Linked DNA regions of Oryctolagus cuniculus. The protein of the gene in region 2 interacts with the protein of the main gene of each other region in a pairwise test. Links are inferred from orthologs where the notes say so. Each region holds a gene or a part of one and is shown on either strand. Other genes may lie near its edges. The genes, in order: CCDC106, ATF4 and EGLN3.

What was found.
Region 1: the proteins of ATF4 (region 2) and CCDC106 interact in binary tests that used the Homo sapiens proteins (3 or more experiments, as listed by UniProt). The link is inferred for Oryctolagus cuniculus from reciprocal best matches to the Homo sapiens genes ATF4 and CCDC106.
Region 3: the proteins of ATF4 (region 2) and EGLN3 interact in a two-hybrid assay, tested with the Homo sapiens proteins (2 studies listed by BioGRID). The link is inferred for Oryctolagus cuniculus from reciprocal best matches to the Homo sapiens genes ATF4 and EGLN3.

The regions. Positions count from the first base shown.
Region 1 is NC_091449.1:3,340,465-3,344,112, forward strand, and holds CCDC106 (coiled-coil domain-containing protein 106), read right to left. Parts: upstream 2,331-3,648; coding exon 2,108-2,330; intron 2,031-2,107; coding exon 1,854-2,030; intron 1,371-1,853; coding exon 1,158-1,370; intron 1,070-1,157; coding exon 753-1,069; 3' UTR 637-752; downstream 1-636. UniProt on the Homo sapiens protein: Promotes the degradation of p53/TP53 protein and inhibits its transactivity.
Region 2 is NC_091442.1:115,754,894-115,758,635, reverse strand, and holds ATF4 (cyclic AMP-dependent transcription factor ATF-4), read right to left. Parts: upstream 2,421-3,742; 5' UTR 2,217-2,420; intron 1,769-2,216; 5' UTR 1,668-1,768; coding exon 1,451-1,667; intron 1,362-1,450; coding exon 553-1,361; 3' UTR 501-552; downstream 1-500. UniProt on the Homo sapiens protein: Transcription factor that binds the cAMP response element (CRE) (consensus: 5'-GTGACGT[AC][AG]-3') and displays two biological functions, as regulator of metabolic and redox processes under normal cellular conditions, and as master transcription factor during integrated stress response (ISR).
Region 3 is NC_091443.1:41,531,813-41,535,454, reverse strand, and holds part of EGLN3 (prolyl hydroxylase EGLN3), read right to left. Parts: intron 2,067-3,642; coding exon 1,947-2,066; intron 367-1,946; coding exon 230-366; intron 1-229. UniProt on the Homo sapiens protein: Prolyl hydroxylase that mediates hydroxylation of proline residues in target proteins, such as PKM, TELO2, ATF4 and HIF1A. Target proteins are preferentially recognized via a LXXLAP motif.

The DNA.
Region 1 (3,648 bases), on a different chromosome or scaffold from region 2:
GAGGTGGGTCCGGGGCCCGGGTCCAGAGAAGGGGGCGGGGTCCGGGCTCTCGGCACCTGGCTCTCCCGATGGGAGAGAGGAAGGAAGGAAGGGCCGACTCTCCGGAGCGCCTGAGGCGGCTGCGCGAGGCAGCAGCAGCCTTCGGGCTGGAGGGCGCGCGCGGCCGCTGCGGAGGTTGCCAGCGCGGCTCTGCGCGCCTGCGCAGGGGCTGAGGCGGGCTATTGCGGCTGCGCGGAGGTCGGTCTGAGGCGGGGTGGCGGTGTCGGGTTCCAGGGCCCCCACTGCGCGTGCGCGAGGCTTTCCCTGCCTAAAAGGAGTCCGAGTTCCCGACCGTTAAGCACGACCGCCCGCTCCCGGTTGTCTTGGCAACTGCGTCCGCGCTCTCGCACCCCTGCCGCCGCGCGCACGCGTGGAAGGCGGTGGAAGCACCACTTCCGGGACGCGGCCAACGTCGCGCTGCTGCCCCCTGGCGGCAGACGGCCGCCGTGCCACGCCGCGCCGCGCCCGGGGACCGCCCATGCCGGGGGTCGTCGGGCCCCGCGCCGCTAACGCACGGCGCCGCCCCCGGGGGGCTCGCCCCACCCTGTGCTCCCCAACCCCTCGCTTCCCCTCCGAGGAAAACGCTGGGGCCCAGTCTGTGCCAAAGCGTCACGTCTCTGTTTTATTTTTAATTTTTTAACTTAAATTCCGGGCGCCGTCTGCCCGAGCGTCACGTCTCTCGTCTTTCTTTATTGGATCTGAGCGAGCACGGGTCACCGCTTGAAGCGGTAGGTGATGGGCAGCAGCAGCTTGCTCTTCTTGAGCGCCTGCACCTTCTTGAGCGTCTCGTCGTCCAGGGCCAGGAAGCAGCGGCGCGAGTACTCGAGCAGGCGCTCCTTGGAGGGGTCGAACTCGCCCACCTCGGCCAGCTTCTCGGGGGCCACGATGAGCAGCTCGGCGATGGGCGTGGTCAGCGCCACGGTGTTGCGGTCCACGCGGTGGTGCTCGAAGGCCCGCGACATGCTCTTGAGCTTCTGGAAGGTGCCCAGGATCTTCTTGTAGCGGCACAGCACGCCGTCGGCGTCCTTCACTGCGGGGGGACAGCGGGCGGCGGTCAGGGCCGGGGCCGCGGCGCGCGGGGCCAGGGCGCGCGCCCCGGGGCCTCGGCCCCCGCTCACCCCGCTGCCGCTCCCGGGCCTTGGGCTTCCCGAAGCGCCTCCGGCCGGCGCCCGCCCGCGGCCTCTGCCTCTTCCTCTCGCCGGCGCTGCCTTCCTCGGACGCGGCGCTGAGCGACGAGGCGGCCGACTCCAGGTCCGAGGCCTCGCCCCCCGCGCCGCCGCGGCTGTCCCCCTCCGCCCGCCGGGGCCCCGGCTTGGCCCGGCAGTGGTCCTCTGGGGGTGGGATGGGGGGCGGGGGAGAGCAAAGCCCGCAGGTGAACGGCGGGCCCAGGCCGGACGCCTGGCGGCCGCGCTGACCCGCAGAGCCCCTGGAGGGCAGTGGGAGCCCGGGAGACAGGGGCTCTGGGCCTGGTAGGCCGGGGACAGCCAAGGCCTCCAGCTGCACCGGGGGCGCTCCCCGGGGACACGGGTGCTGGAAAGGCCCTGTACTGGGCTCCCCAGGGGCCCGACCGTCGCGGGAATCATCCGCGGGGGAGACAGCCAGATCCTGACAGCGTGGGCACGGGCACCACGGGCCCGTGCGTGGCGCCGGGTTTGGGGAGGAGGGGGCTCGCAGAGAGAGGGGCAGCAGGGGCCCCGCTGGGGCTGGGCGGCGGTCAGCACGCGTGGGTCCGCCAGTAAACCGGCCGGGCTGCTGCTGGTCCTGGACCAGCACGGGAGGGGGCAGGGGCACGGGGTCGCGGCCCGCGCGCCCACCTGCGTCCACGCGCGCGGAGGAGATGAACTTGTCCAGCTGGCAGCGCAGGAAGTCCCGCTCCTCCTCCAGGTCCTCGATGCGCTTCTGCAGCCACGAGTTCCTCTCCAGGGCCAGGTGCAGCTGCGCCTTGACGCTGTTCATCAGGGCCAGGGTGGGCGACGCGGCCTCCGCGGGCTCTGCGGCGGGGAGCGCACCGGTCACCCTGCGGGCCGGCGGCCCCGCGCCTCCGCGCCCCCGCGCCCCCGCCGCTCACCCTCGAAGCCCGCCTGCGAGGAGTTCAGGCTGTAGAAGAGCTGCGAGTCCAGCGGGGGCGCCTCCTCGAAGGGGACGGAGACCTCAAAGCCCTCATCGTCTTTCTTCACTGGACAGGAGAGGCCCGCGGTCACGCGCCAGGCGGCCGCAGGCCCCGCCGGGGCCGCCCCCCACCGCGGCCCCGCGTCCTCACTCGTCCGCCTCCGGCCGCTCCGCTCGTTCATCGCCGGGCTTTCTGTGGACCCCGCAGCGGAGCGCCTCAGGGGCACTGGACAGAAACAGCAGCCACAGATGGAGGGGCCCGCCCGGGGTCTGGGGGGGAGGGGACCCCATGCTCCAGGACCCAGAGCTGCGGGCGCCTAGCCGAGACCCGGACGGACGGCTGGGGCCTGGGCACCCCGGGGCTGCTGGGGCACAGGGAGCCCCTGGCCCGCACGGCGAGGACCCCCCGCAAGGGGTCTCTGCAGGCCCAACCGAGCCGCAGGTGCAGGGAGAAGCTGCCCCAACTTCGGCCCACGCGCGGCGACTCCCGGCTCCCGGTCGTCCCACGCCCCTCCCCCGCACTCGCCTGGAGCCAGCAGGGCCCCTCCCCCATGACGGGGGGGGCTGGGCGCGTGCGCAGTGCGGGGGAAGGTCACGCGTGGGCATGCGCCCCCCGCCCCCGCCCTTTGTCCCGCGGGTGGGAGGGGGAGCGGCCGTGGCGGGGGGGGGGATTGTCCCTGCAATAATAGGCCAAGGGTGCGGACGCGGCCACCATCCCCCTCCCCACCTCCCCCGCCCCGTGCCCCGGGTCCGAGGGGCCGGAGCTGCCCGCGCTCACCCACCCGCGCGCGGAATCTGGGCCGCGGACCGACGGCGGCGGCGGCGCCCATGCCCGGCGCGGGGGAGCGTCTGCAAAGTGTCACAGAGAGCGAAGGGAGGCGCCCACCCGCCCGCGAGCGGGCGGGGCGGCGGCGGAGCGGGTCTCCGGACTGGGCGGCGGAGCGGGACGCGGGGAACTCGGCGAGGCAGGGTCCAGCCGGCCCGGCGCCTCTCCTCCCGGAGCCCTGGCACCCAGGTGAGACCCCGCCGTTTTCGGCAGAGGCCGGGGGCCGCACTTGCGCGACGGCCCCTTACAGCACTCCCCCGCCCTGCACGAAGCTCAGGCAGGGAGCGTCACGAAATTCCCATCCCAGCGAGATGGTTTGGCTGCAGGGGTCCCTCGGGTGGGTGGCGACGGTCCCCCGAGAAGGGGAGGGCGGTGTGGGAAAGTTGAAGAGGAGGAAGATCGTGGTGTGTGTACCCAGGGCCCGGCCAGGGCAGACCCCACGATCGGTTCCCAGGAAGGGGAGGGTCCCCCTCTCCCCGGGAAATGAGGGGTTCAGAGGCTGCGTGCCAGCCCGGAGGACGTGCTTCCGGCCTCAGTGTGCTCACCTGTAGAATGGGGGAATCCGACCCCTCCCGGCACCGCGCGGTGGTGGACACGCGCAGCAAGCCCGCCCCCGCACCTGTCCACAGTCAGACGGCGGGGTAGGGGGCACAGCCGCGGCCCCTTCGCGGCGG
Region 2 (3,742 bases):
CAATGGGTCCCGGTCCCAGACTGTGGCTGTCCCTAACGGCTGGCCCAGAACAGCGGGGTCTGGCCCCCCAGCTCAGGGCCAGTGCTGGGGCATAGCAGGTGAAGCAGCCTGCAGTGCCAGAACCCCATGTGGGTGCCAGTTCGAATCCCAGCTGCTGCAGCTCTCTGCTGTGGTGAGTGCTTGGGCCCCTGCATCTGTCAGCTCCAGGCTTCTGCTGCAGCCCAGCCCTGGCTGCCGTGGCCATTGGGTGTGTGAGCCAGCAGATGGAGGACCGTCTCCAACTCTGCCTTCGAATAGACAGCTCTCCCATGATCTGTGTGTGTGCAGGCTGGAGCCAGTGACCACCCCCACACACACACACAGGAACACCGAACAAGGAAGTTGCAGCCACTCATGGAGTGAGTGCCCGCCCCAGACCAGATCCCACCATCCCGCGTGGGACTCTTGTTGCCCGCCCCACCACGCCCAGAGGGTGTGAGCCACAGGACAACTCCCAGGAATGCTTTCACTACAAAATAATTTATTAACAGCGGAGCCTCCTGTGCGTGCGCCCTAGGCGGGGACCCTCCTCCTGCCGCGGGCCGCCCGCACCTCCTCCAGCAGGTCCTTGAGGTACTGGATCTCCTTGGCCAGGCCGTCGGCCCTCTCCCGCAGGGCCGCGTTGCGCTCCTCCAGCCCCCGGCACTCGCCCGCCAGCGCCTCCTGCTCCGCCCGCTTCTTCTGCCGGTAGCGCGTGGCGGCCGTCTTGTTCTGCTCCATCTTCTTGAGCTTCTTCTCCAGCTTCTCGCCCTTCACGCGCGCCGCCGCGGCCGCCGCAGGCTCGTAGGGCTTGGGGCGGGCCGGGGCGGGGGGGCCCCTGTGCGGGGAGCCCCTGGGGGTGGGGGCGGAGGGGCTGCGCTGCGGGGAGCCCGGGCAGGACTCGGGGCTCATGCAGACGCCGCTGTCGTTGTCGGAGGGGCTGTCCTCCTCCTTGACGCCCTGCGGGACCACGGGGCCCAGGCCGGGCGACTCGGGCTTCCGGTCCCCGTCCGCGATGTCCACCTCGCTGCCCAGCTCCAAGCTGAACGACTCATCCGGGGAGGCGGCCGCGACCCCCAGCGACAGGGGCAGGGGCTGCAGGAAGGTGCAGGGGGCGACCTGCGGCAGGCTCGCGGGGAGGGGGCCGAGCGGGCTCCCTGCCTGGGGCGGCTCCTTGAGCGCGTCCAGGGCCAGGGGGGCGAAGAGGTCGCACGAGTCGTCCAGCGTGGCCAGCAGCTCGTCGGGCACGGCCTCCAGGTCGTCCAAGCTCAGCAGGGCGTCGAAGTCGAACTCCTTGAGGTCCACTTTCTCCAACATCCAGTCCGTCCCGGAGAAGGCGTCCTCTGCGGGGGCGCGAGCGAGGGCGCGTGAGGCCGGCGCCCCCCCCCCGACACGGGCGCCCCCTCCCACCCCCACCCCCCGCGGCGCTCACCCTTGCCGTCGGCGGGGGCGCCCAGCAGCCCGTCCGCCGCCAGCCATTCCGAGGAGCCCGCCGCAGCCTTGTCGCCGGGGGGCCCGGGAGGCTTCCAGGGCGTGGCCACCTCCAGGTAGTCGTCCAGGAGCCCCAGGCCCTCCTCAGCCCCCAAAGCCGCCTGGTCGAAGGGGGACGCCAAGTCCCCCGCCAACCCCGCGCTGTGCAGGAAGCTCATGTCGGCCGTGTCGCGGGGCTGCGCTGGAACCGGGGCAGGGGCTCAGCTCGAAGGTGTCTCTGTCCGTGACAGCAACGCTGCTGCTGGGTGCCGTGAGGAGCCTGCGGGCGAGCGGCAGGGGCGCCATCAGGGCGGGGGCCGGCCGGGCGGCAGGTGCACAGCGGCCATGGCCGCCCCCGCCGGGGCCGGCGCCCGGCCCGCCCGCCCGGCCCCGCCCCGTGACTCACCCCGCGCCGCCTCCCGCCGCCATCTTGGCCGCCGCCACGTTTCGCGGGGCGGCCACCGCGACCCCCGCCGGCGCAGAGCGGGGGCCGGGGCTCCGAGGACAGCGCGCCCCCACCTCCCCGGGGACGCGGGCGCCGGGCCGCGCTCTCCCGACCCCGCCCAAGGACACGCAAGCAGGAACCACGCGTCCCCGGCGCTCGTAAAACCGCTTCCGCCTCGGCGACGCGGCCCCGACCCCCGGCCGCAGGCCGCGCCCAAGCCCAGGCCCAGGCCCAGGGCCCGCAGACGCCGGGCCCCGGCCCCCTCGCCCGGCCCGGTACTCACGCCATGGCTTAAGCCGCTGGGGGTTGCCGCTGCAGAGCCTGGTGCTGCTGCCGCCGCTGCAAAGGCCAACGCTGCCGCAGGCACTGCTGCCTCTAATACGCCATGGTGGCCGCGGCCCTGCGGGACGGGAGGAGGAAGGGCACGGCTCGCAAGAGATCTACATCGACGGGCGGGCGCAGCGGTAATGGCGGCGGCGCGCGGCCCGCCGGGCTTTTATAGACTTGGTCGCCTCCGAGCCGCATCACAGGACGCATCCTTCCGCCGCGGCCATGTGACCCGCGCCTCCTGCCCACTCCCCGGCGTCCCCACCACTTTCCTCCCCCGAGCTTTTATGTCCGAGGCGTAGCCATGTACAGAAAAGTAGTTTACTTTCAAGATCTCACGTCGGGAAAAAGGCGCACTACTTTACAAGGCGTCCAAGATCAAAGAGTCTCGTCCTTTCCCCCTCGGATGCCCGGATGCGCGGAGGGATCTCTCTCAGGGGCGGGGCGTGAAGAGCCTTTCATTCCAAGGAGGCTTTTTATTGTGAAGGCCGAGGCCGCCCGGCTATCGCGCGAGACGCTGGCGGGGAGCGCGCGTCGAGATGATTGGCTCAGGCCTGAGGAGTCATATATACCTTGAGCTCCTATTGGCTCAGGGCCCGAGGGGGGCGGGCCACTCGGCGAAGGGGCCCGGGTCTGCGCGGGAAAGGGCGGGAGCGGCCTGGCGTGCAGCCGTGCCTTTGGTTGTAGCCTCGGCGGCCGCAGCGGTAGAAATCAGCGCCCAGCGGCCTCCGAGCGAGCCCGCCGCGAGCGGGCCCGGGCCTCGGGGCCGGGGAGCCTGCCGCCGTCCGGGGCCGGCTCTGCGTCCTCCCGCTGACCTCCGCGAGCCGCTGGCCAGCCTGCGTGTCCGCGGCGCCCTTTCTGCTGCAGGGCGTCGCTGCGGGGACGCCTCTGGCCTCTGCAGGCTCAGCCCCGCTGCGACCCCGGGTGGTTCCCACGAGCTCCGGACAAGGCCCGGTGGCCCTGCGGGGGACAGGAGTTCCCGGGGAGCCGGGCCCCGGCCCGCAGAGCTCCACTCCCGCGTCCCTTCCGCGAGCGCTGCTGGCTGGACAGACAACCTGCCCTGGGGCCAGGGCCACCCTTCCCAGGGTGCACGGGCAGCCCCGGCGCCCCCGTCTGTTGGCGGACACTGGCCGTGCTGGGGCCCGGCCCGCGCGCGGGACGCGCTCCCGCCACGCTAACTCGGGGTCCCCACTCCCGGCTACCCCTGTGGGGTCACTCTGCTTCCTCAGGGGGCTCCTCCCGGAACTGACCGGCGGCCGAGGCCTAGGGCGCGGCACTCTGCCCGGGGGTCAGGAGGAAGGCGGTGGGGGTGGGACTCCCGCGCCGCCACCGCGACCCCGCATCCATCCCGGGAGTCCCGCCCGCTCCCTGCTGATGCGCCCGGGAGAGCCGTGCTTGCGCCCCTGCGCCCACGTGGGCGACCCGGCGGAGTTCCAGCTCTTGGCCATCTGGGGAACGAACCAGATGGAAGAACTCCTAATT
Region 3 (3,642 bases), on a different chromosome or scaffold from region 2:
ACCTGTGATTTCCAAAGCGGGGGACACAGGCGACTTTAATTGAGTGTTAAGTTTTGAGGGATCCTGGCTCTACAGAATCCAAGGTTTCCCCTTTAATTTTTATGGGCTCCAGATGCATTTGCCATTGGCTCCGAGGTGTGAGGAACTCCTGTGCACCAGAATTCAGAGCGTCCCCTGGGAACTGGGGCCCGCATGAGCTCCTGAAGAGGAATCATAGCCCCACCGTTACCTGGTGGCGTAGGAAGGCTGCACCTCATGTGGATTCCTGCGGTCCGACCAGAAGAACAGCAGTCTATCGAAAATGGGCTCCACATCTGCTACGAACGACTTCCCTTCTGGAAATATCCTCAGGATCCCACCATGTAGCTGCAGGACCACAAGAAGGTAGATCATTTCCTGGCCTCACACAGGGTTTATCAACAACAACATTTCAGCCCCACCTGGAAACAATGCCATTCTCCGAGTTTTACTTCCTCCTCACCCTTGGTACCAAATTGTATTGCAAACTTGGCTAAGAAACTTCTCCTTATGCACCTCATTTCCAATCAAACCCTTGCCACTGAGCGATCATGAAACCAGCTCATGGACACAAAATAGATTAGCATTAGAATGGACCACAGAGAAGTGCCAATGTGTGAGTGGTTTTGACTTTGACTTACAAAAACAAAACCAACCAACCAACCAACCCCAGCCGTTTCATATGGTTCCATCTAATAGCAGTAGCTTCCTAAGATGATTCCCACTTCTCCAGTTGGAATTCACAGGTTTTGCCAAATTCCCCAAGCTCCTATCCAACCCTGTTAGCACAAGTTATAAGCTCTTTTCTTCCACCATCTTATCAGCCCCTCCTACTACACGTTAACTCTTTCTTGAATTACTCATCTTTTTCTACATGTGTCCTCAATCTGTCTTCCCAGAATTACTACAATCAAAGGAGCATTCCGGCCCTCTGTATCAGCGCATCCCTACAGCACAATGCCTATCACTGAAAGGAACTCAAATCTTTGTCCAACGACTTCACACTCTGCTCTGCGCATTGTTTTTATTGACCTAATAACTTGACGCTCTTGCCTACAGGGTTTTCAAGGGGACCGAATGGATGTGTTTCAGTCATGTTACTCAAGAGGGAGACGAAGAGACAAGCCTTGTCACTCACTCACTGCTTTCCCAGGTTTCGTTTCTATGACCCTGGAGAAAATATCACTGCTTTATGGCAGCCAGCATCTGCCCCGAAAGAACAGGAAATGGAGTCGCAGAAAGTTCAAAAGCCAAATAAGCTTCCAAAGTCCTCCAACTTCCCAGAGTCCTAAATCACACTCAACTTTCAGAAAGTATACAAAGTCCAGACAAATGCTGGCACACATGGAGCCAGACTTTGATTTTCCTCTTTCTCTACGTGTTCTAAAATACAAAAATAAGCCACCAAGCCTCTGGCACTCATAAAGCACAGTATGCTGTGGCAAGCAGCCATTAATGAGATGTAGCACCCTGAGAAAGAGGCGTGCGAAGGAGCTCTCTCTTGGGGATGGTTTTGCTTTGGATCCTATAGTTCTATTTTTGTGCTGTCCTCTCAGTGCTACTGTTGGGAGGGAAACATGTACATCCTATTTTGCAGTGAGACTCATATCAGCTCTGAATTACACTAAAAAAAATCCATCTGTAATCCTAACATCAAATTACCTTCCCTTTGTCAACCACCCATCCCACCCCTTAATAATCACCGTAGCTACCCACCCCCAAGGCAGTTTCACATACATGATCTTCATCTCACCAATTCTAGCACTAATTCCAGGGTGGGGAGGAGGGGAAGGAAAACGTGAGAGACATAGAAAGATTCATCAGCGGGAGATAGAGAGCTATTATGAACTCAAAACTCTCCTCTGAATTATCTGAATTCTTTTCCATCGTTTCCTAACTCCACACACACTCCCATTATTCCACGGTACCTTGGCATCCCAGTTCTTGTTCAGGTAGTAGATGCAGGTGATACAGCGGCCGTCACCATTGGGATTGTCCACGTGGCGAACATAACCTGCTCCGTTTCCTGGATAGCATGCCACCATCGCCTATGAGGAAATCCCAAGAAAGCTGGTTAACAACACTGAAACAAACTTCTCCTCCCACTGGTGAGCAGACAGTGACACAGTCTCCTTGGATATGTATGACATGTATGACATGTGTGGCTGCTGGCTTCCTAGCTGCATGTGTAGTGTGTCTGTTTGGACTCCCCAGCATGTAAGATGAACAGCCAGGTCATGCCTTGTGGCTCAGCCCAGAGGGAAGTGGTGTGGCAATACTGCCACAGCTCTAGGACATTTGACAGTCTTCTTTCTGTCCATGGACACGATGCTCTGCCTTTCTTCAAAACTCCTTTGGTGAGAAAACCACTTATGGTTACCATTCTAGGTCCACAAAACCAAAATCATGAGAGGTACAGCTTAGGGATTATGTCTGTTTAATGAATGCCTCTGAATCACCGTATCACTCGGTCTTACAAGAACAGCTAGATCCTTGTATTTGCGAGAAGAACCAATCACCAAAAAGGTCAGGCTTGCTCAATACAATGTTTAGGACAGAAGGGAAAGAGAAGGGTCAACAAGAGGCTAATGTGTTAGCACAGACAACGCAGCGGAATCCCCCGCAGGGAAAACCAAACACTTACAGTATGTTTCTGAATACTCTTCCTCCTACCTGGGAATTCGGAAATGAGGAGCTAATATGAAGCCCTCCTCCTCTGTGTATCATACAGCTGGAGGAATAAAGCAGAAAGCCTTCCTGAAAATCCTCTGAGAGGGTAACAAACCTGATTGTTCCAGGGGAACTTTGTAAGAGTAGGGGAAAAAGGGGCAAAGTACAAAAAGCCAGTTCTTGTCTTCACAGGACACTGCCGTACTTTAAAGACATTTTTTATAGGTCTGTGATATATGTAGAGAAACTAAGAAAACCTGCAACGTAAGACATCGGCAAAGACTTCTTTCCTGCTCGGTTTGCTGATGCATTCTTGGTACCTGGGACAGTGCCCGATACGAAGAATCCTCTTAAAATCCGGTGAATGAATCAATGAATTAGTGAGAAGCTGTTTCGCTAACGAATAAGTTCACATTCCACCTAGGTTGATTGCTTTTTTTATAATTTTAAAAAGCCTATCTCCAAACACACATATAGGGATCCAGTTCATATACACCCTGACAAGTGACAGAATGGCTTCATTAGTAAAATGACTAGTTGGGTAGAGCCCCAAACTAACATGCTAACGGATCAATGGACAAGCTTCAATGTAGTTGCTAAATCACTCCCCCCAGCAGCATGAAAACATGGCACAAGGCATCACATACAATGCAAGCTAGAATAATAAGGCTGAATGGTGACTTGGCTTTAGAGACATCTAAAACCTTAAGTCACCATTATCTCTCACACTTTATAACTTCATGAATTAGCAATGCCTATATCCTGCCTTCGCACACCAAAATATCAATGCAATGTCATCCCTAGAACTGAAGCTCGACTGTTAGCTTGAATGTCTTTCAGAAGGTGGAATGTCAAGGCAACTGCAATAAATTAACAAACGATGGACACGTAATTGGTAGCAGAGATGCTGGGCCAAGCTGGAAAGGAAGAGATAAATGAAGTCACTTCCAATGA